Macaca fascicularis: one gene and its partners. The protein of the gene in region 2 interacts with the protein of the main gene of each other region in a pairwise test. Links are inferred from orthologs where the notes say so. Each region holds a gene or a part of one and is shown on either strand. Other genes may lie near its edges. The genes, in order: MAGEB18, HTT, AP2A2, ERCC6L, UTP14A, YWHAB and JAKMIP1.

Evidence for each region.
Region 1: the proteins of HTT (region 2) and MAGEB18 interact in binary tests that used the Homo sapiens proteins (3 or more experiments, as listed by UniProt). The link is inferred for Macaca fascicularis from reciprocal best matches to the Homo sapiens genes HTT and MAGEB18.
Region 3: the proteins of HTT (region 2) and AP2A2 interact in a two-hybrid assay, tested with the Homo sapiens proteins (2 studies listed by BioGRID and IntAct). The link is inferred for Macaca fascicularis from reciprocal best matches to the Homo sapiens genes HTT and AP2A2.
Region 4: the proteins of HTT (region 2) and ERCC6L interact in binary tests that used the Homo sapiens proteins (3 or more experiments, as listed by UniProt). The link is inferred for Macaca fascicularis from reciprocal best matches to the Homo sapiens genes HTT and ERCC6L.
Region 5: the proteins of HTT (region 2) and UTP14A interact in binary tests that used the Homo sapiens proteins (3 or more experiments, as listed by UniProt). The link is inferred for Macaca fascicularis from reciprocal best matches to the Homo sapiens genes HTT and UTP14A.
Region 6: the proteins of HTT (region 2) and YWHAB interact in binary tests that used the Homo sapiens proteins (3 or more experiments, as listed by UniProt). The link is inferred for Macaca fascicularis from reciprocal best matches to the Homo sapiens genes HTT and YWHAB.
Region 7: the proteins of HTT (region 2) and JAKMIP1 interact in binary tests that used the Homo sapiens proteins (3 or more experiments, as listed by UniProt). The link is inferred for Macaca fascicularis from reciprocal best matches to the Homo sapiens genes HTT and JAKMIP1.

What each region holds. Positions count from the first base shown.
Region 1 is NC_088395.1:26,116,242-26,120,568, reverse strand, and holds MAGEB18 (melanoma-associated antigen B18), read right to left. Parts: upstream 3,044-4,327; 5' UTR 2,919-3,043; intron 2,503-2,918; 5' UTR 2,441-2,502; coding exon 1,406-2,440; 3' UTR 1,398-1,405; intron 1,243-1,397; 3' UTR 679-1,242; downstream 1-678. UniProt on the Homo sapiens protein: May enhance ubiquitin ligase activity of RING-type zinc finger-containing E3 ubiquitin-protein ligases. Proposed to act through recruitment and/or stabilization of the Ubl-conjugating enzyme (E2) at the E3:substrate complex.
Region 2 is NC_088379.1:3,422,558-3,426,418, reverse strand, and holds part of HTT (huntingtin), read right to left. Parts: intron 3,345-3,861; coding exon 3,165-3,344; intron 3,034-3,164; coding exon 2,857-3,033; intron 2,564-2,856; coding exon 2,487-2,563; intron 1,124-2,486; coding exon 985-1,123; intron 73-984; coding exon 1-72.
Region 3 is NC_088388.1:914,172-918,032, reverse strand, and holds part of AP2A2 (AP-2 complex subunit alpha-2), read right to left. Parts: intron 3,628-3,861; coding exon 3,504-3,627; intron 2,305-3,503; coding exon 2,188-2,304; intron 2,077-2,187; coding exon 2,007-2,076; intron 1,677-2,006; coding exon 1,542-1,676; intron 940-1,541; coding exon 862-939; 3' UTR 1-861. UniProt on the Homo sapiens protein: Component of the adaptor protein complex 2 (AP-2). Adaptor protein complexes function in protein transport via transport vesicles in different membrane traffic pathways.
Region 4 is NC_088395.1:79,021,945-79,026,396, forward strand, and holds the start of ERCC6L (DNA excision repair protein ERCC-6-like), read right to left. Parts: upstream 3,103-4,452; 5' UTR 3,091-3,102; coding exon 3,023-3,090; exon of another isoform or gene 2,014-3,022; intron 1-2,013. UniProt on the Homo sapiens protein: DNA helicase that acts as a tension sensor that associates with catenated DNA which is stretched under tension until it is resolved during anaphase. Functions as ATP-dependent DNA translocase. Can promote Holliday junction branch migration (in vitro).
Region 5 is NC_088395.1:136,173,154-136,177,652, reverse strand, and holds the start of UTP14A (U3 small nucleolar RNA-associated protein 14 homolog A), read right to left. Parts: upstream 2,903-4,499; 5' UTR 2,851-2,902; coding exon 2,825-2,850; intron 1,368-2,824; coding exon 1,292-1,367; intron 1-1,291. UniProt on the Homo sapiens protein: May be required for ribosome biogenesis.
Region 6 is NC_088384.1:100,980,341-100,984,975, reverse strand, and holds the start of YWHAB (14-3-3 protein beta/alpha), read right to left. Parts: upstream 2,967-4,635; 5' UTR 2,794-2,966; exon of another isoform or gene 2,355-2,793; intron 1,024-2,354; 5' UTR 929-1,023; intron 1-928. UniProt on the Homo sapiens protein: Adapter protein implicated in the regulation of a large spectrum of both general and specialized signaling pathways. Binds to a large number of partners, usually by recognition of a phosphoserine or phosphothreonine motif.
Region 7 is NC_088379.1:6,895,907-6,900,221, reverse strand, and holds the start of JAKMIP1 (janus kinase and microtubule-interacting protein 1), read right to left. Parts: upstream 2,924-4,315; 5' UTR 2,629-2,923; intron 1-2,628. UniProt on the Homo sapiens protein: Associates with microtubules and may play a role in the microtubule-dependent transport of the GABA-B receptor. May play a role in JAK1 signaling and regulate microtubule cytoskeleton rearrangements.

The DNA of each region.
Region 1 (4,327 bases), on a different chromosome or scaffold from region 2:
GATCTGGCTCTCTCAGTTCAGAGCAAAGGAGCCAACACAGTAGCTTTTCAGCATCGCACATCAAGGCAGTTTCACCATTATTTCTCAAAAATTCCCTGGGGAGGCTGTACATAAAATAACTAGATTATGCTATGTGTTCAACTGAATGTGAACAAGAGCACAGGACACTATCCACTTCTGCTCCAAGAGGTTTTCTTCTGCTTTATTGATGTCACCAAGGTAACTCTTAAGTGGAGGTTTCCACTCCAGGGTTTTGTCCTTCAACAATGAGACACACCATCTGAGTGCCTGGCCTCTGCTCTCCAGTCCCACAGCTTCATGTAGCTCACCACCCAGCTTAAATTAAAAGTATATCCCACTGAGAGACTCATAGTTTCCAAAAGTCTAAAAGGGCCTTTCTTCAGAGAATTTGCACCTTACCATTTTCAGCCAGATACACTCCAGCACTTTTCCCAAACCCCTCTCTAACTCCTTACCTCCTTACTCCCTCTTCTTACTTGTACTTTAGGTCTTAGAAGTATTTCACCATCTTCCATGCATTATTATTGTTCATTAATTGTAAAAGTCTAAGCAGGGCTGGGTGTTTTGTATCCTAGTTTTCCCATTTCTAACAAAATTACTTTCAAAGATCAGATGTTTTATTAATATTGGAGGAATGAATGAGGCAGTAAGCATAGATGCTAGTTCATAAACATTTTATTTTTTCCTACCTTCTTCAGTAAGCTAAGCCAATCCAGGTATGACTCTTTTATCTTTATATAACAGAATAAAATGGATAAAGAAAACCAAGAACTAAAAAGTATTACTTTTTCTCACCTATGTTTTGATCTCCAAAATTTTACTGCTAAATCATTTCACATTTTTTAAGGAAATACCTATTCCAATACTGTGTTTCCTTGTTTTGGCTCATTAAATATGAAAGAAGGTTTCCCAATTTGTTTTACAGAACAATAAAACTCCTACTCTTAAATAGCAATACATGTGTAACCAAAGTCATTAATAAATTTCGATTCTGAAGTAATCTAAAACTTCTATTAAAAGAAACAACATTTGAAATATAACACCAAAAAAAAAAAGAAAGAAAAAGATACAACTCCAAGTTACTATAGAATATTAACACAACATGATATATGCTGTGTTCCCTCCAGACCCACCCTGGCCATTCACTACTTAGAATGTTGATTGCTTTTTTCTTCCACAAAGAAAACAATCTTCTTCAGACTTCAACATTTGAAATGTAACCTAGGGAAAAAAAAAAAGAAGGAAAAGTAAAACTCTACTTATCAATATACAATAGGAACGCAAAGATGATATACGCTTATTTCTTCCAGCCCCACCATGGCCCTCCACTATTAGAATGTTGACAGACCTTTTCGACCAAAAAGTGAAGAACCAACCTCAGATTTCACTTAGCATGGGAGAAGCTGCTAGACGTGGTTCTGGAACGTGCATTTGCCATGGCAGCAGTATGAGCCCTGGCTGCAACTCTGGCTTGGGCTCTCTGTTCCTCATCCCTCAAAGCTTCTTCATAGCAGGATGGGAAGGCACTAGGGACGGTATCATGCATCTTGGCTACAAACTCCAGGACTTTCATCTTGCTAGTTTCAGCGTGAGCTCTTGGACCCCACAGGAATTCATAGCGTGGAGGATCACTGTCGGGCACTTGCTGGTACTCCAGGTACTTTAGCTGCACCAAATCTTTGGTCATGACCTTCCTGGGATCCCCATAGAGGAAGTGCTTCCTATCAGCATATACACCCATCACATTCATAATTTCCCAAACTGCCTCTTCTGGGGCACGGTTGCCATTCATGAAGATCACACCCAGTGCAATCATCAGGAGGCCAGTCTTGGGAATTTTTTCTTCATCACTGGTTGTTTCATCATAGGTGAGGTCTAGTTTGCTGAAAAAGGCATAGTAGTGCCTGATGGGATCCACTTCCTTCAAATCAACACCAAATGCCAGCTCTATGTGCTCAGAGGCTCTCTTGAGGATCTCATTGAAGTGACCCTTATCCTTTCTGATAACAAACTTTATCATATCTCCCTTTGTAATTGGCTCTTTCTTTTCATACTTCTGAAGCAAGAAATGCACCAGCGACACTACTTTCTTGCTTAAGGGATCTTCTTGCCAGCCCTCAGCTTCCCTTGAGGAACCTAGACTTTTCTCGTCTTGGTTGCTGGCACCTTCATTTGAACTGGTGCATGAAACAGGTGCAATAGTATTGGTGGTGGATGGGGCTCCCTGAAGCGCCTCAGGGATGCTAAGTGTCTCAGCAGCAGGCAAATTCTGGGGTCTATCACCAAAGAGAAGATTGGCAGAGGAGGACGACTCTCCTTCTGCCACAGGGGCCTGAGTAGCACCCAGATCCTGATTCTCACAACGAGCCTGGTGGCGTTTCTCACGGGCACGGAGCTTACTTTTCTGACCTCGAGGCATAATTACTCTTGTCAGGGACTACAGACAATAGTGCAGGCAGTTGGGTTGATGAAGAGGTCACCCTAGAAGACGGAGGATAAGATAGTGTTCACAGCCTTGGTAGGGAGATTCTACCTTGGTCTAAGAATGGCCACCTCTGCTGGTTCTCTTGAGGGTATTGCTTTAGGAACCCATAAGGCAGGAGCAGGCTGGGACTGTTCTGTGGGGGTTTATCACATCAGTTCTAACTCAGGATATTAATTTTACTTTAGTCCTTTGAGTCCTCCCTCTGTTGACTTGAGGCTGCCTCGCTTTAGACCATGGCTTCCCATCCCACAGATTCCCAACAGGAAGTAAGGGTATTAGGCCTAACAGCTGCGCTTTGGGACACACACAGTTGACGGTGGGAGCAGGACAGAGCAGAGAAGGATGGGTCTCTATGAGGCCGCCTCTGTTCTGGGAAAAGTGTGTCTCGAAGGTCATAACAAACGATACTCACTTTGACACCTGCCGGATCCTGAAATTTATTTCTCTGGCCACATCTTTCAGACCAAGGCTTCGCCCGTAACAGCTTGATGACGTGGAATATAGGTCAAGAGAAACACTTCCGGCCACGCCCACCTTGCTCTCCCAGCATAACAGCAAATGGTTCTGTGTTCTGGGGGAGGGGCAGTTCTTAAAGAAATACATATATTTCTTTCACTGACTTTGCAGGCACTGGGACTTCTCTCTTTGCTAAGCTGAATCAGTCAGCCTCAGAAAAAGGATCATTTCCCTGAGTTCAGAGTAGGAAGTAAAGTGGAGCGTGAGCCTAGCAGCCATGCCTGGGGCCTCCCAAGATTGACAGTAGGGGCGGGGTCTGTGGGGGTCCCTCTTCTTGGGTAGGTAACGCCCTCAGTCCTCACTCAGTGTCTTATCGTGACTTTTTATAGGTACAGGGCCACTTCTCTGCTGACTTGAGGCCATCAAATAAGGTACTAAATCTGTAAATAAAGATAATTGACATCTGTACAATATTATGTTCACCACGTATAAATATATTGTATTGCTCTACTTAGGCATCCATCTGAGTCTATCAGTAAACTTTTATATTTGCTTTGATAGAGTGTATGTTTTTGTTAATGTTCTTTTTAGGTACATTTTGAATGTTGCTGCTCTTTTGAATGGTATATTTTTCATTACACTTTTTTTTTTATTTTTAAAGCCCTCTCAAATTTGTTGAAATAGATTGTTTTCAGGACGGTACATTAGGAGAAAAATGAGGATGACAAAAGCATCAAAGGATCTTTCATTCAGGCACTAAAAGGAATCCAGAAAAGAACTTCTTAGAGAAAATCTGGAGTAGCTAGGATCTTTCCTTATTTGAAACCATGACTTTCAATTTAATGCTTTGTATATTACTTTTGTTTTGTTTCTACTACACTGGCTGAGTCAGGTTTGGATTTCTGAAAAGCTTTACTTCCGCCCCTCCCGTAAGATCCTAATCCAGTTCACAGTGAATTTCAGTGACTTAAAGCCTTGAGGTAGCACAAATGTTTTTTATAAGATTCCTTGAGGCTTCTTTTTTTTAACCTTTATTTTAAGTACAGAAGTATATGTGCAGGTTTGTTATATAGGTAAACTCGTGTCATGGGGGTTTGTTGTACAGATTATTTTATCACCCAGGTATTAAGCCTAGTACCTATTAGTTATTTTTCCTGACCCTCTCCTTCCTCCCACCTTCCACTTTCTAAAAGGCCCCAGTGTCTATTGTTCCCCTATATGTGTCCATGTGTTCCCATCATTTAGCTCCCACTTATAAGTGAGAACATGTGGTATTTGGTTTTCTGTTTTTATGTTAGTTTGCCAAGAATAATGGCCTCCAGTCCCATCCATGTTCCTGAAAAGGGTATCATCTTTTTTATGGCT
Region 2 (3,861 bases):
CTCTGCACCTTCCAGCAGCGCAGAATCTGACCTGGTCCAACACTGGGATTTGACAAGATGAATGTACCAGTCCTGGGAAGAAAAAGATGAATAAGGGGAACATGATGGGTGGCGTTCAAGGGCACTTCACATCCCTGGAGCTACAGGCCTAGGCCAGTGCTTGGGAACACTGCACTAGGCTAACTGAGAGGGCCGCCGGCCGGCATGTTGTGGCTATACAGCTCACCACACCACAGGTCTTCCCCTTTGGACTTCTGTTACCTACCTGGGTACTCTCACGGCCTCCCCCTTCACCTGGTGAACTTCTAATAGTCCTTCCAAATATAGCTAAACTACTAAGGGTTAGCGGCCCCTTTGCCATCCTCTCCTGGGCTGTCTGCTTTGCTCATCTCTTCCCAGCAACCAGGGCAGGGCAGGGCAGATGCTTAGCAAATAGAGCCTAAGGCGGCAGGACTGAACCTTCGCTTTCTTATACTTGGGCTGCTGGTTTTTGAAATCTAAATTCATATTCATAAGCTGAACTCTCTCCAGGAAAGTAGAGTACCAAGGCTCTACCAAGGCCCCAAGTGGTCCCTAACGGTGAGGTATGAGCAGTGGAGGTGCTGACAACATACCAGTATGGCTGGCAGTGGCGGTGCAACTCACAGGTGGCCAGAAGGTATGAGGCGATGGAGGGAGGCTAAATGCACTGACATGTGCTTGAAGGCCTGTGCAGTCAGGGGCCTGCAGGCCACAATTGACTTTCCCTTGAGTCACCCACTAACGACTCACCTCGCACTCCTACCGAAAGGGTCCCACATCAGCACTGCTTTGCTCCCTCGGACATTGATGGTCCCCCCAGGTCTCTAACCACGGCTTCATTGAGCCGAGCAGAGCGCCAGCACTCCTTGGGTCCACCGCACCTCCTCTGCACTCTCTGTATCTGCCACAGGTGACAGAGGCACTCTGCCCTGTGCCCCGCATGCAGACACGCTGGACACTTACTTTGTCCGGACTCACTGTTTCCAGTGACACGTGCCCGTCCCCGTCCAGCGGGTGGGAAGAGACTGGGGGAGAGGGACTAAGTGAGTCTTGCATGGTGGAGAGACGAAACCTGTCCAGCAGGGAATAGAGCCTCTGGTGTCTAAAATACAAACAAAAATGAAATTACAGTGCAATTTTTTTTTTAGTCTTAGTCTAAACTCTGCACACTAGGATTCTAGAAATATACACCCTAAGGATGCACTATTAGTGGCTTCTTAAAGGAAAATGAAACTTGTTTAAAACTTTTTCTTCGCAGCTATTTTCTCATCAACACTCAAACAGGTCATGATATAAACGCAGGCCCTAGTTTACTTCTAAGGTATCACAGTTTGTACTCCATTAATATTGTCCAGAAATTTCATTTATACTCAAACATTGCAACAGTCCATACATGGTATAAAAGCTAATAAAGGCTTTCTTAATAAACGTAAAACAGATCATCTAAGACTCAAATGCACAAACTCCACTATCAAAATATCCCAGTAAGACAACTGATAGGAATTTATGGTCATTTCAAAATAAAATCACCTCATCTGGCACAAGATATTTATAATCTTTTAATCTCCCTCATCTGGACTGAAGACTAAGTCTAGGGTCAAAAAGTAATAATAGTTTATCTGCCACCATATGCTATGAGAGTGACAACTTTATAATGCAAATTACAAAACAGCTTGGCCCTACAGACCGAAAAATCGCCCCAAACTGTCCACCTAATTGTGCCCAATCCCATTTAAAAACACCATCAACAAGGTACTCTTAAGACTGAAATCAAAGCATGTGTGTGTGTGTTTTCTTTTTTGCAATTTCAGCTCAAAGGACACAGCATGATAATTATATTCTCCTTCTCTGCTGTCTCTCTTTCCCTTTCACACACACAATTTCCGCCCCCACCAAGGGAAGAAAAAAGGTAAAAGTTTAACTTATTTTGCAGTCATGGAAATACACTCACATAGGAGATGTAAGGATTTCTGATAAAGGCTTCTAAAAGACTTTGCAAACACAACTAAGTGATTAAATGCTTTGAAGAGAAAAAATGGCAACGGGATGCAGATGTAAGTCCTGCATGCCAAGGATTCAGTAATGTCTTTCAGATTTGCCAACTCTTGTTTAGCAATTAGATGATATGCTTTGATTTTGCTAAGATAAAGCTGATAACCTATTTTCCCACTCATCACAGGACACTGAATACAGGCATTCTAAATACTACCTCTCAAACAGCCAACAGGAGTGCAAACTGCCTCCACTCATGTCATAGACGTGATCCTGCTGGTTGTCCTTTACTCCATATAAAGTGAGATCTGGTTGTTTTAAAAGTAGGAAGCTTTCTATTATGGCACTTCTGCAGTAAACCCACCTATAACGCACATCAATTTCTTGTCCTGTGAATTTATTCCCGCACAAATCTATATCTTTTATATCCTGGGTTCTCCTAACACAAGGATGACCTGTGTTTCCAGCATTACCTCTGAGCGAGCCCGCTGCTCTGAAGGTATTCCTGGATTCTGTTGAGTTCTTCCATTGGCAACTGGGCCATGCTGCTCTAATAGACAAAAACACATTAGTGTGTTTGTGACACTGAACAACCCAAAATAACCTCATGCTCATTTAAAAAGGATAAACTGATGTGTACAGTTCATCCTAGTAAGGACAGACTAGAAAAAAGTTCAAGAAACAGATCAGACACACGAGGAATGGCAAGTTTGCAGATATTTCCATGTTTCTATTGGTGACCGTGTCAAGACCACACCTATGGAGGAAAAAGGCAGCCACCTGTTTTGCTTGGCCTGCTAAATTTTCAATATAAATCAATATCAGGGTTTCTTTTCCCAATACCTGTAAATTTGCAGCCAGAAGCATTTCTACCCGGCGACAAGCAAGGATGTCGACCATGCGAGCCAGCACACGGAAAGGGGTGCACAGCAGCCTGTCCACATACAACGTGAGCACAGCTCCCGACTGGCTGAGATGGATCCCCTCCAAGCACTGAAGAGTTTTCTTCAGAGTGGTTGGCTAACAGCGAGAAGGAAAAGAACAAAAGATGACTATTTTGCCAATCAGAAATTAATGTTAAAAATTTCAATACTCCATTTTTAAGGCAGAGAAAACTGCAACTGGCAATTGTTGGCAGGATGAAAACGTACAGTTGAAAGGTTTTCACAACGAGACTGAATTGCCTGGATGAAGAGGCCGCTGGCAGCGGAGTTCCGATGAACAGCACTGATGAAGTCCTGTACTGGAGGCTCGTGGGAAAGGCTGATCAGATCTTGAATGTGATTTACAATGAGCCACGTTAAGTGCTCGGAGTCATGGAGGTTCTGACACTAAGGAAAAATATGATGAGAGATTCACTTTCAAGTACACAAGAAGAGACCAGGTATTAATCCATAGAAAGGCCAGAAAGCGTAAGAAGGAGAAAACACATCTCAAATATAAACCTCACTAAAAAATATACAGTGTATGAGCACAAATAATTGAGGAGGCAGGAAACTGGATTTACCAAGGCCGTCACCTCCAACCACGCACTGCAGCAGAGGCTGTGTGAAGTCAGGCCCCCCTGGGGAAGTAGGGGTACAGCAGTCCAGCTCTCAGAGACACTAACAAATGGCCAAGGGTCAAAGGACAAAGGCAGGCCTCAGAGATCCATGGGCAGGAGGGGCAGCGTGGTACTGCGACGCTCCCATCCACAGCACTGCCTGCCCCCTCCCGGGCTTCGAGCTGGCCAAGCCAGTGGGGTTCTCCAATTACTCTTTTTCCAATTTTGTGATAGTTCAGTGGGAAAAAAAAATCCTCTATCACTGCCACGGTCTTGACAGAATTGTTTAATCCAAAATATGAATG
Region 3 (3,861 bases), on a different chromosome or scaffold from region 2:
CATGGCCCCTTCACTTCCTGACGACACAAAGGCTTCCCTCCTCCACAGCCCCTCCAGGGATGACTGGACGGGGCCAGTGGAAGCATTCAAGCCTGCACCGTGGCCTGGGGACACCCACTCTTGACAGGAGAGAGACGAGCACACCTGAGTCTGAGCCACCAGCCCACGCTTTACCCCGGAGTCCTGGGGGCCCCGCGGGGCCAGCAGGACGCTCCTTCCCTGGCTGCACATCTAAGGCCTCGGGGACTGCAGGAGCAAAACAGACACCCTCCACGAACAGGAGCTGGGAAAATAATTACATCCAGCCAGGACACGTGGTCTGGCCAGAAGTCATCACAAATACAAATGCTTCTGAAGTCCAGATTAAAATCCTGCCTGGGAAAACTGTCCAGCTGGGACTGCAGCAAAACCAGGGGCGGCCGTGCTCCTCCCAAGGGCCCAGGACGATGCCAGGTGTGCAGCCACCAGAACAGCCACACACCAAGGCTCAGCCCACGCCACACGCGGCGGCACTGCTGCTCCCAGAGGCTCCGAGGCGGGGTGGGCGGCAGCACGGGCCATCTCAGTGACACTCCCACAAACGCCACGTTCACGCCAACTTCTAATTTCCCTTTAATTTGTAGATTGAACCACAGAACTGTCTTGATTTTTATAAAAACTGATCCCAAGATCCACCTTCTGCCGCGGCTGCCGCAGTCCAGGCTGAGCTTTTCTTCCTGAGCCACACACGTGTGTTCCTGTCCAGCCCAAAGGGGAGAGGTCTGGGGCAGCGGGGGTGCTCATCTGCAGGACGGCCACGAAGACAAACAGCACAGACGAAGACAACGCAAGACACACGGGCCTGGTCTTCCATCCTCAAGACTAAAACTGCGCGGACAGCAATTCACATAATCTCTGAGAAACGGCTTCCTTACTCGTCCGCAGCGTGAGCCGGTACATCTGAAACGGAGAGCGCAGCGGGTCAGCGGGCATGCCAAGGCTCACACAGCCCTCGGGTCCAGGACCCGCCATGCAGAACCCTGTGGGCCACGCCCAGGGACCGCTCTCTGGAGGCACCCACAGCTCGGCAGAGGCCTGAGCACCACACACACTGTCAGCATGAAAACTGAGGGCTGGCACGGGAGCGCCTGGCACCTCGTACGTAGCTGGCGGGAGTGTGAAGTGGCACAGCTTCTTGTAGCGCTAACCACACACAGGCCCTGGGCAGCAGCGGCATTCCCGGGTGCCGCCCGAGTGAAACGGAGACAGGTGTCTGTCGACAGAATGGGACGTGGCGAGAAGGAACAACGCGGTGACAGAGAGGAACAGCTGGGAGAGCCATCGCCCAGGGCCAGGATGCTCTGTGGCGGGACAATGCTCCAGGTGGCCAGCTGTGGGGAGACTGGGATGCAACCATGTATTGACAGGGTGGTGGTTAAACGGGCACACAACATCTATCAAAACTGACCAAACTGCTCTAAAGAGCTACACATCTCACCATGTACATTGTGCCAGAATAAAAAGCAACTCAAGTGTGTTCAGCCATTTCCTGAGGGCCTGACCTGGGCTTGCAGGTTCGGCTCCAGGCGTAGCAGGCATCCGATCTGGGTGGTTTTCGTGTGGATGATTCCAGCTCCCACGAAATTTGCAGGATTAGGATCAACTTCTTCAAGAAGTGCAGAACCAAATCCAATGATCTGTTCAAAGAAACAGGAGAATGATGATCCTGGAGCGGGGTCACAGGCAGCACGTCCAGGGCCATCCCTCCAGACCCCGGCGCTGGGTTGCGGGCAGCATGTCCCCCGGGGCCACCCCTCCAGATCCTGGCACTGGGTGGCGGGGAGCGTGTCCCCAGGGCCGTCCCTCCAGACCCTGGTGCTGGGTCTTGAGCAGCAGGTCCCCCGGGGCCATCCCTCCAGACCCTGGCGCTGGGTCACGGACAGCGCGTCCCCCGGGGCCGTCCCTCCAGACCCTGGCGCTGGGTTGCAGGCAGCGTGTCCCCGGGGCCGTCCCTCCAGATGCCCTACCTTGGCTTTGGTGACTTCTGTGTCCATTGGGTGCTTTGCTTTGAAGATGTTCTGCACCTCCTGCTGTGGACTGTGAGAAACAGCAAAGGCGAGTTTCTCAGCCAGGCCAGAGACCAAAGCCCATCTGTTCAAATGACCCCCATCCCCACCCCCGACCCCTACAGGACAACAGGTTTCTCACTTGCTCAACTGCTTCCAACGTTGAAAGAAATCCTGAGAAGCCATTTCTGTCGGCTGGAAGAATTTGTTGAGAGTGATGGGCAGCTGCACAGACACGTTCTGGAAGGTGCCGCCATACCTGCCAGCAGCAGCAGAAAGAGACAGTCAGCTCCTCCTCTGAGAGCCCCAGGGGCCAGGAAAGAGCCGAGGGACAGTCAGCTCCTCCTCTGAGAGCCCCAGGGGCCAGGAAAGAGCCGAGGGACAGTCAGCTCCTCCTCTGAGAGCCCCAGGGGCCAGGAAAGAGCCGAGGGACAGTCAGCTCCTCCTCTGAGAGCCCCAGGGGCCAGGAAAGAGCCGAGGGACAGTCAGCTCCTCCTCTGAGAGCCCCAGGGGCCAGGAAAGAGCCGAGGGACAGTCAGCTCCTCCTCTGAGAGCCCCAGGGGCCGGAAAAGAGCCTGGAGTGAGAAGCGTCCCCACCTACCGCCACCCACCAGAGCGTGGGGAGCCGAGCCTTGAGTCTCAGATCATGTGTGGCTCAGTGTACAGTGTCACCCACAGACAGGATAGGCCAGGGCCGCGTACACAGGCAGGACGCCCCTGTGCCTCACTTCTCCCCATCTATCTGTTTCTCAGAACTCCAAGTCTGTGCAAATAGTGTGATTTTTTTTTTCTTTAAAAAGGCAAAGGCATTTGCACAAAGAATGAAACAAAAATTTGCATGTCTATGTCCCCAAATTCTACGGTATACAATCCTTAAGTTCTCTGTATTTTTAATGTTAGAAAGTGTGCTTTTCTCAACATTCATAACCTTGCAGACACCCAGCAGGGTACGCGCTGACCGTGTACACGCTATTGTAGCCACTGAAAAGTGAGAGTAAGCAACAGTTGCAACAGGAAAATCTCCTGCTTTTAAAAAATAAGCAAAGTGGTATGATCTGAGTCCAACTGTGCAAAAAACACACCCCTCAGGCCAGGGTCCGAAGGAAGCCAGCTGCCTTCACCTCGCAGCGGTTGTCTGGTACCAAGCCGGGCAGGTGGCATGTGGCCCTGGCTGTCTGCTACCCCATGAGGTAGGCCCCGTTGTGCCCAGAAAGATCCTAGCAAGGCCCCATGTGGGAGCTGCCACCTGCCATCCCACAGCCCAGGGCTTCACCTCCCCTTGTTTCCTGCGCTCTGCAGAGCTGAGGGCAGCAACAGCTCAGGTCGCATCCATGCACCATGAGTACCCACATGCCCTGGGTCCCCTCAGGAAGGACATGGGGGCACAGTCATGGAGCCCAGGCACACAGCTCAGGCGCCCACACAATCTTTGGCCCGGGGCGCACAGATGGCTCTTACCTGAACTGAATGTTGAGGACTGGCGCCTCCGTGAAGTCAGACACGCACTCTATGTTGACCACCTGCTGCACCTGCGCACCCCCCTCCACAGTCGGGTCCACGGGCTTGGTCTGCAGGTTCAGGTGTGTGTGCGTTAAGGAATCCAGCCAAGCAAGCCCCAGCGGCAGAAGCGGAAACGGGCTGGGCTAGAGCCCCAGCAGGACCCGTGGAGGCGAGCACACTCACCACGCTCCAGGACCACCAGCTACAGGTCAAGGGGCGGCCACACCACCCGGTCCTGCCTTTCCACCCAGACAATCCTCAAAACACTGTTTGCTTCTCACGCTTCCAAAACGGCTCCTCCATTTTAAAAAGTCGC
Region 4 (4,452 bases), on a different chromosome or scaffold from region 2:
TAATTTTTGTATTTTTAGTAGAGACGGGGCTTCACCATGTTGGCCAGACTGGTCTTGAACTCCTGACCTTGTGATCCACCCACCTCGCCCTCCCAAAGTGATTACAGGCATGAGCCACTGTGCCCAGACTACAGAAATCTTTTAAAAATTAGACAAGTGGCCGGGCGCGGTGGCTCAAGCCTTTAATCCCAGCACTTTGGGAGGCCGAGACGGGCGCATCACCAGGTCAGGAGATCGAGACCATCCTGGCTAACACGGTGAAACCCCGTCTCTACTAAAATACAAAAAAAATTAGCTGGGCGAGGTGGCGGGCGCCTGTACTCCCAGCTACTCGGGAGGCTGAGGCAGGAGAATGGCGTGAACCCGGGAGGCGGGGCTTGCAGTGAGCTGAGATCCGGCCATTGCACTCCAGCCTGGGCAACAGAGCTAGACTCCGTCTCAAAAAAAAAAAAAAAAAAAAAATTAGACAAGCTTGGTGGCACACACCTCTGGTATATGTTTACATGTACAGTAAGTCCTCAGTTAACGTGGTCAGTAAGTTCTTGGCAACTGCAACTTTAAGCAAAATGACGCACAGCAGGTCCTTGAATGACACTGGTTCATTCAATATCATTTTGCTGCAACACTGATGAGAAAAAAATTGGTTTTGCTATGTCATTTCACTTAAAGTCAGTTTCCAAGAACCTATGGACAATGTTAAATGAGGACTTACTGTATATACACGCACACACATCTTTGCCCACTCATGTAAGTGTATCTGTAGAAGAAAATACTACAAGTCCTAGCTTCAAAAGTAAAACTATGTATCTTAACTTTTGAATTGACTCATATAGCTCATCACACACCAGCCTGAGAGAATATAAATAAATGCTTACTCACACTATTGACTTTATTAAAATCTGGCATGGTGTTCTTGAATAGCAATTTTATTTTATTTTATTTTTTTATTTTTTTTTTTTGAGAGGGAGTCTGTCTCTGTCGCCCAGGCTGGAGTGCAGTGGCCGGATCTCAGCTCACTGCAAGCTCCGCCTCCCGGGTTCACGCCATTCTCCTGCCTCAGCCTCCCGAGTAGCTGGGACTACAGGCGCCCGCCACCTCGCCCGGCTCGTTTTTTTTTGTATTTTTTAGTAGAGATGGGGTTTCACCGTGTTAGCCAGGATGGTCTTGATCTCCTGACCTCGTGATCCGCCCGTCTCGGCCTCCCAAAGTGCTGGGATTACAGGCTTGAGCCACCGCGCCCGGCCTTGAATAGCAATTTTAAATACACATTCCCTAAGATACAGCACTCTGAATTCCAAAGTGTACACTCAGTTATAAAGTGCACAAAAATTCACAAAAAGGCTGCCTATTACAACAAAAGTAAAACGGCAAACAATTGGAAAAATCTAAATGAAAGGCCTGGCATGGTGGCTCACGTCTGTAATCTCAACCCTTTGGGAGGCTGAGGCAGGAGGACTGCTTGAACTCAGGAGTTCGAGACCAGCCTGGACAACATGGCAAGACCCTGTCTCTACTAAAAATACGAAAAAATACTTTGGGAGGCCGAGGCAGGTGGATCACGAGGTCAGGAGATCGAGACCATCCTGGCTAACACGGTGAAACCCCATCTCTACTAAAAATACAAAAAAATTAGCTGGGTGTGGTGGCGGGCACCTGTAGTATCTGCTACTCGGGAGGCTGAGGCAGGAGAATGGTGTGAACCCGGGAGGCAGAGCTTGCAGTGAGCTGAGATCGTGCCACTGCACTCCAGCCTGGGTGACAGAGCGAGACTCTGTCTCAAAAAAAATAAAATAAAATAGTTGGGTGTGGTGGTGTGCACCTGTGGTCCCAGCTACTAGAGATGCTGAGGTGGGAAGATCCCTTGAGCCCCGGGGGATGGAAGTTGCAGTGAACTGAGTTAGAGATCGAGCCACTGCACTCCAGCCTGGGTGACAGAGCCAGACCCTGTCTCTAAAAAAACATATAAAACAACAATAATAAGATAATAAATTGACTGGGCATGGTGGCACCCACCTGAAGTCCCAGCTACTAGGGAGGCTGGGGCAGAAGGACTGCTTGAGCCCAGGAGTTCCAGGCTGCAGTGAACTATGATCAGGCCACAGAATTCCAGTCTAGGCGACAGAGCAAGACCCTGTCTAAAAAAAATTAAAGCAGTAAAATCCACAGAGACAGAATAATGGTTGCTAGGGGCTGAAGGGAGGGGGAAATGGGGAGTTGTTTAATGGGAGTAGTTTCAGTTTTGCCACATAAGAAAAGTTCTGGAGATGACAGACAGTTGCACAACAATATGAATGTAGTCAACACTACCGAACTGTACATTTAAAAATGATTAAGATGATAAACTTTATTTTTCATGAAACCCAGTTTCTGCACAAAAAGATAAATTTTATGTTATGCGTACTTTACCACAATTTAAGAAAAAATTTAAATGCTCATCCCAACATTACCACGCCCCCCACCCTTAGCCAACTGGTGAATGCTAACTTATTTTTCAACGCCTAGCTCAAATGTCTCCTCTTGCCATGCCATCCCTTAGCTGACCACCCTTGTAGTTGGCCATCCCCTCTTTTATGCCAACACTATGCCCTGCACATACATTATACCTCTTACAACACTTATCAAACCTAGTAATTATTGCTTTACAAATCCGTTTCCACCACTAGATTACAAACAACTTGGGGGCGGGGACCTTGTTTTACTCATCTCTGTATCCCCTAGGCTTGGGGCTTGATAAGCTGAAAAGAATCAATAAGGGCTTGATTAATTAAGGTTCTGGCTCTTACGGAGCTCATACTGCAGGGTCATCTGCCCAAAAGAAAAGGCATCGGGGTCTCCTGAGGTTTTAGAAATCTGGTCAAACATCCAGAGCTGACTCCCACACCCTACTGCGAGAAGAGTGCGAGAGCGCGCCTCAAAAGGCTGCGCCTCAACAGTTCGGGTCACCAGGGGGATCTGGGGGCCACCCCCACCTCCACCCTGGGCCAGGTCGGTTAGCTAGACCCGCCCAGCGGCCCCGACATACCTTAGGTAATGAGCAGCCTGCTCTGGGCTCAAGGCCTCGGCTTCCGGAAACCTACGGGACGCCTCCATGACCCTCGGACTGGGTTCCAGTTACCCCGGTGGGAGCTTGGAGCTTGAATTTCGCGCACTCCCGCCCCGCGCATGCTCTGTGCGCCTGTGGCGAGGGACACAGCCAACCGTCGGCCTCGCGGCCGGCCAATCCGCGACCACGCGCTGCGACGCCACCGCCTGAGCCCCGCCCATGAGGGTAGGCGCCTGCGCCTACGCGCGCCTGGAGGTAGGAAGTGACGTCTGCCTTCGAGACACGGAGTGTGCTGCGTCACTCTGTAGTCCCTTGCGTTTCAACCCAGTTCAAACCATGCTGCGGCCAATTCGTTCGCGCATGCGTGTGCTATCATTGTGAGTGGAGGAGGCTGCCCGATATGATCCCAGTCGTTGTGGCGACCCTTGGAGATCTCCAACGCCTGCATCCCCCAGTCAACCCCTGCCCCACATCCAGAGATACCTTCCCTTCCTTGATCGCCAGTACCTGGCACTGAACGTGCTTTGAATCCAAACACCCTGGGAGGCGTAGTCCCTGTGATTTAAACTCACATTGAAGAAGGCGCGGTGGTTCACGCCTGTAATTCCAGCACTTTGGGAGGCCGGGGCGGGCGGATCATTTGAGGTCAGGAGTTCAAGACAAACCTAGCTAACATGGTGAAAACCCGTCTCTACTAAAAATACAAAAAATTAGCCAGGCGTGGTGGCAGGCGCCCGCAGTCCCAGTCAGGTGGCTGAGGCACGAGAATCGCTTGGACCCAGCAGGTGGAGGTTGCAGTGAGTCGCGATTGCACCACTGCACTCCAGCCTGGGTGGCAAAGCAAGACTCTGTCTCAAAAATAAAAATAAAAAAATTTTAAAAAGTCTGGGTGCGGTGCCTCACACCTGTAATCCTAGCCTTTGGGGAGGCTAAGGTGGGAGGATCACTTGCACTCAGGAGTTCGAGACCAGCCTGGGCAACATAGTGAGACCCCCCCATCTCTTTTTCAATTTTTTTTTCTTCTCCACAGGGCGTTATGCTGTATTTATTTTTTTAAAAAGAGAGAGAGAAAGAGAGAAGGGTCTTCAAGAATCTCAAACCCGGGAGGTGGAGGCTGCAGTGAGCCAAGATCATGCCACTGCACTCCAGCCTGGGCGACAGAGCAAGACTCCATCTCACAAAAAAATAAAAGAAAATAAAGTTCTTATTTAAGAAATAAGTAGTTAGGTTCACATACTTGGTGTAATAAGAAGAGGACAAAAATAATTCAAAAAAAAAAAAGAAAGAAGTAGTGCTGTGGTCACCATTTCTTCAGAAGCACCAACTAAGATACAGTCATTTTCAAAGGCAGAGCCTAAAAAAAGGCGGAGCCTAGAGCTTAAGGAAATGTGATTAAGTGACTTGCTTGG
Region 5 (4,499 bases), on a different chromosome or scaffold from region 2:
CTTTTGGTCAGTAGAGAACTGGGGAATTGGAAGAGGTCTGGTGTGCAAGCATTCCAGCTCAAACTAAAAGGGAGCTAATGTCATGTGTCTGTCCTAACTTGCTTCTAGACAAAAAGGGCTTAAAATGGTGTTTCTGTATAAAATATATAGTATGATCTAACATGGAAACCCTGACATATAGTGTAAGTCATAGCCAGTTACAAAGTTGGCTTTTTTTTCTTTGAGACAGAGTCTCGCTCTGTTGCCCAGGAAGGAGTGCAGTGGTGTGATCTCAGCTCACTGCAACCTCCACCTCCTGGAAGTGATTCTCTTGCCCCAGCCACTGGAATAGCTAGGATTACAGGCGAGTGCCACCACACCCAACTAATTTTTGTATTTTTAGTAAAGACGGGGTTTCACCATGTTGGCCAGACTGGTCTTGAACTCCTGGCCTCCAGTCATCCACCCGCCTTGGCCTCCCAAAGTGCTGGGATTACAGGTGTGAGTCACCACACCCGGCCTCCAAGTTAAGTTGGCTTTTCCTACGAAGAACACGACAAGCAGAAAAAAATAGACAAAAAAAAACACCCTCCTTGTTATTAAAATAGATGTGTTGTGTGCCCCCAACCCAAGGGAAAAAAAAAGTGTTTTTTTGTAAGGGAAATAAAGAATTGGAATTCTTATAGCATCTGTTGGAGATCCAGCTTAAAATACATATGCATATTTCAGTCAGATAATTAAATAACGCTCTATAGAAATCCAAACTTGGGAAATCATATCATATGAGGACCATGTGTTTCAGTCTTTTTTTTTTTTTTTTTTGAGACGGAGTCTTGCTCTATTGCCCAGACTGGAGTGCAGTGGCTTGATCTTGGCTTACTGCAACCTCCACCTCCTGGGTTCAATAGTAGCTGGGATTATAGGCACACACCACCACACCCAGCTAATTTTTGTATTTTTAGTAGACACAGGGTTTTGCCGTGTTGGCCAGGCTGGTCTTGAACTCCTGACCTCAGGTTATCTCCCTGCCTTAGCCTCCCAAAGTGCTGGGATTACAGGCGTGAGCCACCAGCCGGGCCTGTTTTCGTTGGTTTTATAAATTATACTTATGCAACTTGCGGGTAGTGAGTGTAACTTAGTTTCCAAATCCTTATAGCACTTAATATGATACAGTAACTTATATATGAAACACTAACCATTTGTAATTAATTTGAGAGACCTGAACAAATACATAGAATATTGTCACACCTTTCCATTCCAGGAATGTGCTCTCTACCCTAATTTTGAAGGCAGTTTAGCAATTGTCACCCACCTCATCTTCACTCCCACTCAAGAGGTAGTCTTTTGGCAAATCTACTAGTTCTTCCTGTTGGCTCAAAGCCAGAAGGCTGTTAAAAGAGGCAACAAAGAAATGTGAATGCAATATACCCATGTAACAAACCTGTATATGTATCCCTTAATTATAATAAAAGTTGAAATTTAATAGAGAAATATTGTTATTTGAAGCAATGTCTAATCTATTAAAACAATCTCGTAAACATTGTAACTTCAACACAGAATAGCCCTATCCCTCAGAAGATATATAAAGCAGCATGAACGCCTTTGAAAACTTGTCAAGACGTGAAATTTAGACTGATGTCAGGCATCACCTCCAGGAATGATGCCTGACTCAAAACTGCATGTAAAAGAGCTAACACTTTTCAGTGATTGGCACAACATTTCCTATGACCTATGGGAAGCTGTAAAAATGTCAGACCCTAGAATAATATGGCCAAAGACGCTGTTGCTAGCCCTGGAGGCAAGGCAGTTTCACGATTAATATTTCTAAGCATCCTCCACATGTTTGACTCTTTGATAGGCAGCCTGATCAAAAGGCAGCCTGATCAAAAGTGTCATCTTGGCCGGGCGCGGTGGCTCAAGCCTGTAATCCCAGCACTTTGGGAGGCCGAGACGGGCGGATCACGAGGTCAGGAGATCAAGACCATCCTGGCTAACACGGTGAAACCCCGTCTCTACTAAAAAGTACAAAAAACTAGCCGGGCGAGGTGGCGGCGCCTGTAGTCCCAGCTACTCGGGAGGCTGAGGCAGGAGAATGGCGCAAACCCGGGAGGCGGAGCTTGCAGTGAGCTGAGATCTGGCCACTGCACCCCAGCCTGGGCGACAGAGCGAGACTCCGTCTCAAAAAAAAAAAAAAAAAAAAAAAAAAAAAAAAAAAAGTGTCATCTTGATCACTTGTTCCCAGGAATGGAGAAACAGGTCGAAAGCAGCTGAGTAAGCCATTTTCCCTGGGGCCTGCTTAGCAAAGTAGGTGCTTAACTAGGGAGACTGGTACCCACAAATTACAAAATTTACCGTTACTTAACAGCATATATTATTAGTATTTGCAAAGCCAACATTCCTAAACGGACTACATTTAGTTCCGGGGGCGGGGAGGGGAGGCACAAAACATCATAGGAGCCAAAACGTGGCGATGACTCCAGTCAGCAAAGCTTTCGAAGATTCGGGGAGTTTATAACGCCTGCACTGCCTGCGCAGAGGATTAAATCGGGCCGCGGCAGAGGCAGAAAAAGGGGTCACGTGACGAGGAATGTGAAACATAGTAAATGAGCTGGGGAGGCAGAAACAGCATCAGGACCAACAGGGATGCGGCTATACAGCTGAGGAGCGGAGTAAGTGAATGAAATTAAAAGGGCTTTAAAGGCTGGATCGCGGAAAACAGGAACAAGTGGCCAGCTCTTGAGGGGAACCACTGCCATCTGTTAAAAGGGGGCGCCCATTTCCCAAAAGCTGGGGAACCCGGCCCCCAACGAGACCCAGAATCCCCACTCCCCTCGTTGCCCTTCACCTCTCTGCAAGCCGGTTCGCAGTCATTTCAGCAGCCAGCTTCTCTCACATGGACCAAGAACGGAAGCCGAAGGAAAGCAATTTCCGTGCCGGCCGCAAAGCAATTTCTGTTTCCGTCAATCGCTCGCGACGTACACGTCAGTTCCGTTGCGTACTAGGCGTGTGAGAAGCAGGAGCCGTGTAGGGAGGGGACTGCGTAAAACGGCGAGGCTGGAGATGAAACGGCTGTCAGCGGGTGGGGCTTTCTTTTCTCCACCCACCCCGTATTTCTCTGGTGCGCCGGTGTCTGTCCTCCTGGTCCCTGGTTTCCACGCGGCCCAGGGTGGGTTAGCTTAGGGCGAAGGTACTGCGCTGTCAGGGACTGAGCCCGCGCCTTCATTCGTCCCTACATAATCCAGAAGGAAAGACTCCAGCGCCCGTCCTTGTGCGACAGCGTCCTGCAAGCCGGCCACCAGCCAGCTCGGGGGTTTATTGAATGCCCATTAAGTGGCCAGATTGTGCCGGGCCCCGGAGATCCGATGGTGAACAAAACAAGTTTCCTTCCATTTAAGGAAAAATATCTTTTGATCCCTTGTAATTGCAGCTCTGTTCTTCATTTCCTGAGTCAAAATATTTTATCCAAGAATGGGCCGTCAGTAGCTACGCTTCCTCACCTCCTATCAACTTTAAAAAAATTATTTTAAACAACTTTTTTTCTCCCATCAACTTTTAAGAATTTATTTATTTTTGAGACAGAGCCTTGCTGTGTCGCTCAGGCTGGAGTGCAATGGCGTGATCTCGGCTCACTGCAACCTCTGCCTCCCAGGTTCAAGCGATTCTCCTGCCTAAGCCTCCGGAGTAGCTAGGATTACTGGCGCCTGCCACCATGCTCGGCTAATATTTGCATTTTTAGTAGAGATGGCATTTTGCTATGTTGGCAAGGCTGGTCTGGAACTCCTGGCCTCAAGTGATTCGCCCGCCTCGGCCTCGCAAAGTGCTGGGATGACAGGCGTGAGCCACTGGGCCCTGCCTAATATATGTGTGTGTATATATATATATATGATGATTGTAGAAAAATAATAGACAAGAACATTCTTTTCATTCTTTTAATCCATTCCCATTTTTGCTTTTGCCCCATTATTCCACAGAAATTGCTCTGGACAAGATCAGCGACACCCAAAGTTGCTAAATAAAATGGATACCTCTCAGTCTTTGGGTTCCTAGAACTTTGTGTGGTATTTAATAACTGTCTGTTCCCTCCCTCCCTCCCTCCCTCCCTCCCTCCCTCCCTCCCTCCCTTCCTTCCTTCCTTCCTTCCTTCCTTCCTTCCTTCCTTCCTTCCTTCCTTCCTTCCTTCCTTTCCCAGAGTTTTGCTCTTGTTGCCAAGGCTGGAGTGCAGTGGCACAATCTCGGCTCACTGAAACCTCCGCCTCCCGGGTTCAAGCGATTCTCCTGCCTCAGCCTCCCGAGTAGCTGGAATTACAGGCGTGCACCACCACGCCTGGCTAATTTTTTTATTTTTTAGCAGAGACGGGGTTTCAGCATGTTGGTCAGGCTGGTCTCGAACTCCTGACCTCAGATGATCCCACCTTGGCCTCCCAAAGTGCTGGGATTACAGGCGTGAGCCACCACGCCCAGCTAATTTGTTTTCTTATTCATGAAATGTTTTTGGCCATCTACTATGTGCCAAGCCTCTA
Region 6 (4,635 bases), on a different chromosome or scaffold from region 2:
AGAATGGGTATATGCTCCACAATAAATCGTCCTGTATCTATCTTCAAAAATAGCTAGTATTCCCATTCAAACGTTTATTAGGATTGGTGTGAAGAAAAATTAAGGACTAAATGGTGTTCACACAAAACATATACATGTGCTGTCTCTACCACACGTAGAAATCTATAATATCATTCCTTACAACCAGATCATCTGGTTTCATTCCTGGTTCTGGCACTTACCTTGTGCTGTGTGTGAGACCTCGGGAAAATTATTCTTCTCAGTGCCTTAGTTTCCTCATCTGTAAAATGGGGCTAATAGTCTTACCTTTCATTGGTTGTTATGAAGACTGAGCTAATATGCTTAAAGTGCTTAAAAGAAAGCTTAGCACACAGTAAGTACTGTAAGTGGTAATTATTATTATAGACTAATTGATACCACCTCATCAGATAAATCACAAATGGATGGATTCTATATAGATGTCCATGAATAGCACATATGCTATGTCTAATCTATACACGTGTATATTCATGCAGATGGTTAAACATCTATTGAACCCCAACTATATCCCAGATGCTTATTTTCATTGAGCTTGTCACAACAAAAATTATCCAAAGCTGCATTACCATTTGCGCTATATAGATGAGAAAATGATTCAGAAAGACTAGATTTGCCTACATGCAAAATAAAGTCCCATAATAATATACCATTTTTTGAAAGCAACTTGTGTACAAAGCAGGGTTTAGTGTCATCAGATGTTAACTGGAGAGAAAAAGCCATTAATAGTGAACTCTAATTAAAAAACCAAAAGCTTCTATTTAACAATTTACAGTTTATAAAAAAGGCTTAATGATAACCCTGGAGATAAGAAAACTAAGAACCATAGACTAACATGCTGAAGATTCAGAAAGCTAGAAAATATTGCAGGCAAGATTTCAACCAAATTTACCTGACTCCAAGTCCAGTGCTCTTCCTGCTTCTCTATCCACAGCCAAATGGGCAAAATGCACTTTTTGTAGAGGCCCAAATCTCTGGAGACTCTGCCTAGAGAACCAGCATCGTGGGAATTTGCTCAGCCTGGTTTTATACAGGCTGCCTCCCTGATCTATAGTGCTCCAATTCTAAAATGGCTTCAATATAGCAAGCACTGCAAGACGGGAAATGTACAAAAGATTATAGGGTAGGAGTCATACTCCAGGGGCTGGCAATCCATATTTGCTACTGATGAATGAGGATATTCAATTTGAAAAAAACTAGGTGTAGAGTCTAGGCCAAATCACCTCATTTCTCATAAAGACTTCATCTGCAAGATAGGTGAATGGTTTCTTATCTCATTGGAGGGGCAGGCTAGGAAAATAATTCTGCAGTTGCTACAGGATTATTTGCCTTCCATTTTGAAAGCCACACTTAAATTTCTAACTCAGGTCCAATAAGATTGACAGGTTGTACACTCATACACTTCGTGTTGCCAAGGACAGGAATCCAAGAAAAATGAGGGCTCAAACAAATGAGATATCCCTAAGTAAGAAATAGGGTACCATGGAAGCAGTCAAGAAGAAATTCACCAAGAACAAATACTTATATAAATTTCCAACATGAAAATGCAAAAGCTGCAGGGTCCAGCTCCATAAACTGCATCTGTGTCTGGCTTCATATGAACTGACAGAATGAGAAATGCAGACAATTTTCATATTCTTATAAGTGCTTCACCTTTCTGTTTTGGCTTCCGTGGCAGGCTGATTTTATGTTCATAGCATCATCTTGCCAAATTCCATCTCCCACACAGGGTAAGCAAAATCAGGACCTGATGCTATCTAGCCTTACCAAAGAGAAATGCAATGAAGGCAACGACAAGAGACATGCATTTCACAGAAAGGTTGGCAAATTGCTTACCAAGGCTGCCACCTCTGGAAACCTCATTATATGGGAGTTCTCCATTTGCGGCAAAGATGCACTCACCTTCCCACCTCTTCTTCCCTCCGCTCCCCACCCCCCGACCAGGAAGCCACCGGGCAAATTTCAGACCGAAAAACGTGCTAACACACAATAGGGGGAATTTGGGGTAAAGACACAAAAGAATTTGGCATTAAATGACGGTAAATACTGTGGGAAAATATTCCGATTCTCATCCCGATATTTTTTCCTGGGGATCCGGCCTGACTCAGTAACCGGCTCCAACAAACACATTTCCTTGATTCAAACCCAATTCCCTTCCTAGGGAATCTTGGGTCCTGCCAGGCTCCATAACCAGTTAAGGATGATGAAATGGTTTTACTGCAAAATGGGAGGGGGTTCCCCCACTGCTGTCTCCCAAGGTTAAACCCCTTACTCATCCAGGAGGAGTCAAACAGGGGGACTGGGGCTAGAAAACTCACCCGCGTTTGATTAAATTTTAATTTCTGGAAACCGGAAAGCACGGAGCAGAGGTGACTGGGCTGAAGAGGACGGTTCTTGCCGACCAAGACGCAGGGAGGGGTCGCGTGAGGGACCGAATCAGATAGTGAGGGAGAGTCCGGGACCCTCGGCTCCGCTGTCCCTCACGGTGCAGCACAGAGTTGCACCCCGCCCGGCCGGCAGGACCTTAGGCGGCGAGGGAGGCCCGGGCCTCTCCAAGAGGTAAAGGGCCCGGCCCCGGAAACAGGGAGGGGCCGCTGCGAGGCCTGGCCTCGCCGCCGGCGGCCGCGCGAAGCGGAAGAGGCAGCGCACCGCTATCCCCCGGGGCCCACCCGCTGGGCCGCCGTCGTCGCAGCTGCCAAAGAGGGGCTTCGAATTTGGGCCCCCGGGGGCCCCGGTCGGACCCCGCGCCGCACTCACCGTGGGAGGGCTGCAGGGAACAAAGACCCTTCCGAGCGAAGCTCCAAGCGAGATGACCTCTTCCTTCCCAAGTCCACTCCTCAGGCAGCGGAAGCGGTGCCTGCAGTGGCTGCAGCGGCGGCGACTACCCCGGCTCCGGAATCGGCGGCGGCGGTGGCGGCAGCTCCACTTCCGCTCCGGTCACCACTTCCGCTCCGGTCCTGGCCGCGCCCCGCCCCACGCCGTGTTCTCATTGGGCAAGCGAGGCACGGGGTTGCCGCGGCCCCACGGGAGGGGCGCTGACGGAAGGGAGGAGGAAGAAGAACGAAGGGCAGGGTTGCCGCGGCCGGGGCAGGGCGCATGGCCGGGGGAGGGACCCAGGAGGAGGTGGGCGGAGAAGAAGGAAATGGGGCGGGGGAGCGGGAAAAGGAGGTGGGAGGAGAGAGGGCGGAGCTGGGGGTGGTCAAGATACGGGCTGTAAAGGCACCCGGAGGACTAGGAGTGAGGTCTGGGTGGGGGTTTCCTTTTCTGCTCAGACTGGAAACGCGCCAGGGCCAGGTACGGAGACTCGAGGTTTAGCAGTCCCCCCTCCACCCAGAAAGTAATCCTCACGGTGTCGGAAGCCGATGTCAGTCCTCTTGCTGTGTGCTTTGGGAATAGTGGAGGTAGGGAAGAACAGAAATTGCTCATCCCTCAATGTTCCCTTAATCCTCCTTTCAATCCTTCGGAGTACTTACTTTTTCCTTCTTTGGTAGACTGAAGAGGCCACTTGGAAGTGCCAGGAATCCAACGCACAAAGGTCTTTTTCAAAAACCTGTGTAGGGCCGAGCGCGGTGGCTCGCGCCTGTAGTCTCAGCACTTTTGGAAGCTGAGGTGAGAGGATTGCTTGAGGCCAGGAGTTGTAGGCTGCAGTGAGCTATGGTCATGACACTGCACTCCAACCTGGGCGACAGAGTGAGACCCTGTCTCCAAGAAAACCCCACAAAAATCTGTGTAGATGATTCCGTCTTTAAGATGCCCCCTCCTTGAGGAAGTTCAGGGAAGGAAACAGGCTTCCATGGCTCCCCTCCCCTCATGACTGCTCTCACAATTACCGACATTCTACTCCTCTCAAGGTAGTTGATTTTGTTTTGTTTTGTTTTCTGTTTTTGAGACAGAGTCTCTCTCTGTCGCCCAGGTAGTGTCACAGTCTTGGCTCACTGCAGTCTGTGCCTCCCAGGTTCAAGCAATTCTCCTGCCTCAGCCTCCTGAGTTGCTGGGATAACAGGGGCATGCCACCACTCCCGGTTCATTTTTGTATTTTTAGTAGACACGGGGCTTCGCCGTATTGGCAAGGCTGGTCTCAAACTCCTGACCTCAGGTGATCCACCCGCCTCAGCCTCTCGAAGTGCTGGGATTACAGTTACAGGCATGAGCCACCTTGCCCGGCTTCAAGGTAGTTGATTTTTAAACTCAGTCCTTCAAAATGCCTCTCGCCTTCCCTCTCTCCTGTTCATTTATTCTTTCAACAAATGTGGAACAGACTTTTTGCTTAGTGCTGGAGACACAGCAATGAACAAGGCAGATGGGGCCCTGCTGTCTTGGAGTTTGCAGTCGGGTAGGAGAAAGAGCCAAGTAAATAGGCCTTTGCCGTCTTGCCTTTACCCTTACTTAGCTAAATGACAGACTTCTAATTCACTGTTTTACTCTCAGCCTCGCCCGTCAACTGCCAAGTGATCTTTTTAAAAATACCATTCTAATCGTGTCCTGTTCTTGCTTAAATTATTTAGTGTGCACTCAGACCTAGATGACAATATGTAAGTTCCTTGAGACAATCAGCGTTCTCCAAAAGCTGCCCTTATCCTTTAGCTGCTATTTCTCCCC
Region 7 (4,315 bases), about 3.5 Mb from region 2:
ACCGCAGTCATCCTCAGACTCCCCAAGGGAAGCCCCCATTTAGTTAGAAAGCCCAGCAGGGAGGCACTTGCCCAATCCCAGCTAAGTGAGGCAGGGCCTGAATGGGAACCCTGGCAGTCTGGCTCAGAGCCTGAAGAGATGCAAGGTCCCACCCTCGAGGAGTTAAACAGAGAGCCACAGCCTGCAGTGGCAACTGCTGCTGCCTTATGGACTAGAAATTGTTCCCTCTGCCACTTGTCCCACAGCCCAGTCCACCATTACACACCAAGAGAGTGGGGCCACGGTCCTGCCACTTCCTCAGGCAGCCTTCCTGGCTGGGCCAAGGCAGGGGCCTGTCCCCCTCTCCCTGCACATGGCTCTCTGACAGCACGGGCAGTGTCTGTGTGGCCATCTCCCTAGGAAAACAGAGCCCCGACCAAAGTGGGACCATCTCTCAGGTGACCTCACTGTGTCCCGTGTCCCGTGTCCCCAGTCTCTAGTGGGCAAGATCTGCTTAAGGAAAAACTATACAAACAAATATCACACTGGACGTGTATGAAAAGTTCTGAGAACACAATGAGAGAACCACACAATCTTTCCGGTAGAGTCTTGGAAAATCACAGTGATGGAACCTAAGAGCTGGACTTTATCATGAATCGTTCTCCAGATACACAAGGGAGGGGAGCATTGTTTTAGAGAGGGGGGTGAAAAAAAAGCATGTGGGGAAAAACCCAAGTGTGAAGACATGTCTACACAACACAGAGGCAGCAGGCGTGGCTGAGACATCGTGGCAGGAAGAGGGGAGAGATGGGCCAGGGAAGTCAGGATGGAAGGAACTGGTGAGGTAGTGGGGGCAGTGGGAGTCATAGGTGGTTTGTGAAGGAAGAAAATGCCAGTCATCTCATGCATTGGGTCCACACTGTGATCCTTTGGGAGCGGCTTACTGCAAAAAGACTCCAGGTAAGAATTACCCCAGACTCCAGAGCGGAGATGTTCAGCATTACAAACCGGTACATATCTCAGCAACAAAAATCTTGCAACAAGCCACAAACCTCCACTGTGCGCCGCAACATCAGTCTCTGCAGACCCGCAGATCTCCAGGAGGGTGACAGTGCCCTGCTAGGAAAGGATCCTAATCCCCCCACTCCATCCTCGAATGTGTCCCTCCTCCTTGCCCATCCCAGCTATTGGAGCCACCACCCACAAGCCCAGGTTGCTAGAGGAAGGGCCAACTCCTCCCATGGCCTCGCCCTCCACACCAGCGGGTTGCTTTGACTTAGGGGAGATGTCCCTGCTATGCCCAACATTCACTGTGGGTGGAGCCCTGGGAGAGGGGCTGAGGCTGCCCCTGTCCTCCTCCCCACCTCCTCCTCTGCTCTGGAAGGCAGAGGCCGTCAGATGGTAACAGCATCCTGGGACAGCTCCGCGGTCCAGGAAAGCTCAGGAGGGGCAAGGGGATCTCCCTGACCTTGGTCTACAAGGAGCTGGCCAGCCGAAGTTAGGGCGTTCCCGGAGAGAGCACAACACGGGCAAAGGCCAAGGACAGTGTGCCTGCGAGTGTGCGCAGATGGGGCGAGCGGCGGAGGAGGGCTGGCGGTTAGATACAGTATCGCTGGAGCTCAGAGAGCCGGGCAGAGGCTGGCGGAGAGCCGAGGTTGGCCCAGCCTTCAGGAGACCGGCGAGCTGGGGTGTGTGGGAGCGGGATGCTTCTAAGGCGAAAAGAAGAGCCAGCCTCGTAAGCGGCCTCTATCTGGGCTGCCCTGGCCGGATCCTCAGGAGCCCACAGCAGGGGGGATGGAGCGAAGGACCGAGGAGCTGGGAGGCGAGGCCGCCGCGCGCGCACTGACGTAGGCCACCGAGGCCGCTGGCCCCGACGCACGGCGCCCGGCAAGGTGTCTGGCACCACCGGAGTCAATCCTTGCGCGCCATCTCCGAGCCCAGCGCGCCCAGGGCGCGCTGGGCCGGCAGGAGGGTGGGTGCCAGCCTTTCTTCCCATCTCTCCAGCCTCCTCCCCGGCGCCCACGTGGGCGGAGCAGCGCGAGGGTGTGCGTGGCAGGGGCCGCGGCGGCGTGTGCCGTGCGTGGGGTGGGGTGCAGGCTGGGCGGCCTCGCCCGCGGGCCCCCCGCCGCCGGGGCGCGGCCCCCAGCTCCATCTTCTTTGCCACCTGGGCGGGGATCTGGGGGACTACGACCTACCCTGCGGAAGACACCGAGGGGACCGGCCGGCCACACCCCCCAGGCCACTCCGGCAGGCACCGGGTGGGTCCCCCCTCCCGCTCCTTGGCTTGGGGGCGGAATCCGGAGAGGAGTGGAAATAGGGGTGGCGTGAAGGAGAGCTGGGGGCTGGGGGCGGAACCGGGAGGGGGTGTTGGGGGAAGCGACGCAGCGGCTGGGAGATTTTGCAAGGGGGTCTGAAGAGGAGTGGGGGATGGGTACGGAAGGGTGGGGGAACGCTGAGGTGGGATGCGAGAGTGGAAGGGGGACCCGAAGGGGGCGCGATGACCGGAGGACGGGGAGATGGACGATGGGGCGGGGCGGCACCGGTCGCCGCGTCCCTCGCCGCCGGGTCCGCCCCTCGGTCGCCGGGTCCACGGGTTCTCTCTGGCCTGCGCGCGCCTCTCCTCCCGCCCCCCGGCGCACCTGTACCCACCTGCTCGGCGCTCAGGCCCGAGCCGGGCAGCAGCAGCGGGCGTAGCGAGCGCAGCCCCGCGCCGCATCCTCCGGCCGCCCCCTCCCCGCTGCGAGCTTACGCCGGTGTCGCCGCCGCCACCGCCTTAAAAAGGACAAAACGGAACAGAAAATGAATGCATGCACAAAAAATCGTAAAAAGCAATTGAGGAGGATGGCAGTCGCGCGCGCGGCTCGGCGGGGCGGGAGTCGAGAGGCCGCGGCACTGGTGGCCGCGATAGGGGCAGGCGGCCGGCGCGTGCCGCACGCGGGTGGCTGCAGCTCCCTTGGTCGCCGGCGCCCGGCTCCGGCACGGCCCCGCCCCTCCCTAGGGAGCCCGTCCGATTGGTCTGTCTTCCTGCCAGTCAGGCAGGAGGGCGAGGCGCCCGCCCCTCCCCGCCCCCGCCCCCGCCCCAGGCAGACTCTGGGAGAGCTTCTGCAGCCGCGAGAGGGGGCGCGGAGCTGCCGGAGCGTGCGCACTAGGCCAGCGGCCGGCCCGGGCGGGGCTGGGGTCCCGGCGCTGAGCGCCCTCAGCCGCGCCGGGCACCCTGGCGCCTCGCTGAGTCGGAGCAACCCCCGGGAGGAGCTTTCAGGCTCTGGTCAAGGCTCGGGCCTCGGGAAGCTGTCCCTACCCTCGGGGGCTCGAGCCTGGCGTGGAGCTTGCAGGTAAAGCGGGGCTGGGGCCGTCCTGGCCGTCAGTGGTCAGGAAGACGCAGCGACCCCGGAGATCCATGTCCCCCTCTGTACGGATGAGAGGTCTGAAGGTCAGAGGTTAAAGCGCACGCTAAAGTCGGCAGAGCCAGCAAGGGGCAGAACTGGACATATGCCAGCCTAGGGAGCTGCCCCCACCAGCCCAGGCTGCCCCCAGCAAAGCCACATCACCAGGTCATAGCCAAATGAACGATGTGCTGTCGAGCTGAGACTTGGGAGGGGCAGGACTCAGCTGGGCAAACATTCATTCAGTGTCATTAGACAAATATTTATTGAGCACCTACTGTGTGCCAGGCAGTCAAGAAGATGTGGGGACACCATAGTGAACAGCAGAGAGGAAGAGGCGCCCACCAGAGCTTACTTTCTAGCAAGGAGAAGGGAGGGAAGAGCACCCAGCAAAGGGAGCAGCGTGGGGGAACACCCTGACTGCAGGGAACGGGACATGTTTGAGAATCTGATAAAAGTGTCTGGGCCACAGAATGATGAGAGGGAGAGTGTGGAAGATGGGGCGTGGGGGCACAGAGGGGCAGCGCTTGCAAGGTCTTGCAGGCTGGGCAGAGTTTGGAGACTGTCTCGCCTGGAAGGTGGTCCCATGGACTATGGTCAGATTGATATTTTTTAAACTGCACCAGTCAGGATAAGCTGTGTTAGCCACAGTAACAACCAAACCCAAATCTCCCTGGTGTGTCTTGCTACATGGTACATCCTTCCTCTGTCAGTGGGGCTCTGTTCATCGGAGTGGTGGCTCCCAGCCGAGCACCCACATGGTGCAGCAGCATGAATGAAAGGTGACAATTATGCTGGCTTTGAAAGCTTCCCTCCCAAGGGACGCTCATCTCTTCTGCTCACGTTTCATTGGCCAGAGCAGGTCACATGACCATGCGTAACCTCAGAAGAGGAGGAAGTGCAGACCTCTAAGGTTCAGGGAGTGGAGAGGAACTAGGATATTTGTGAGCAGA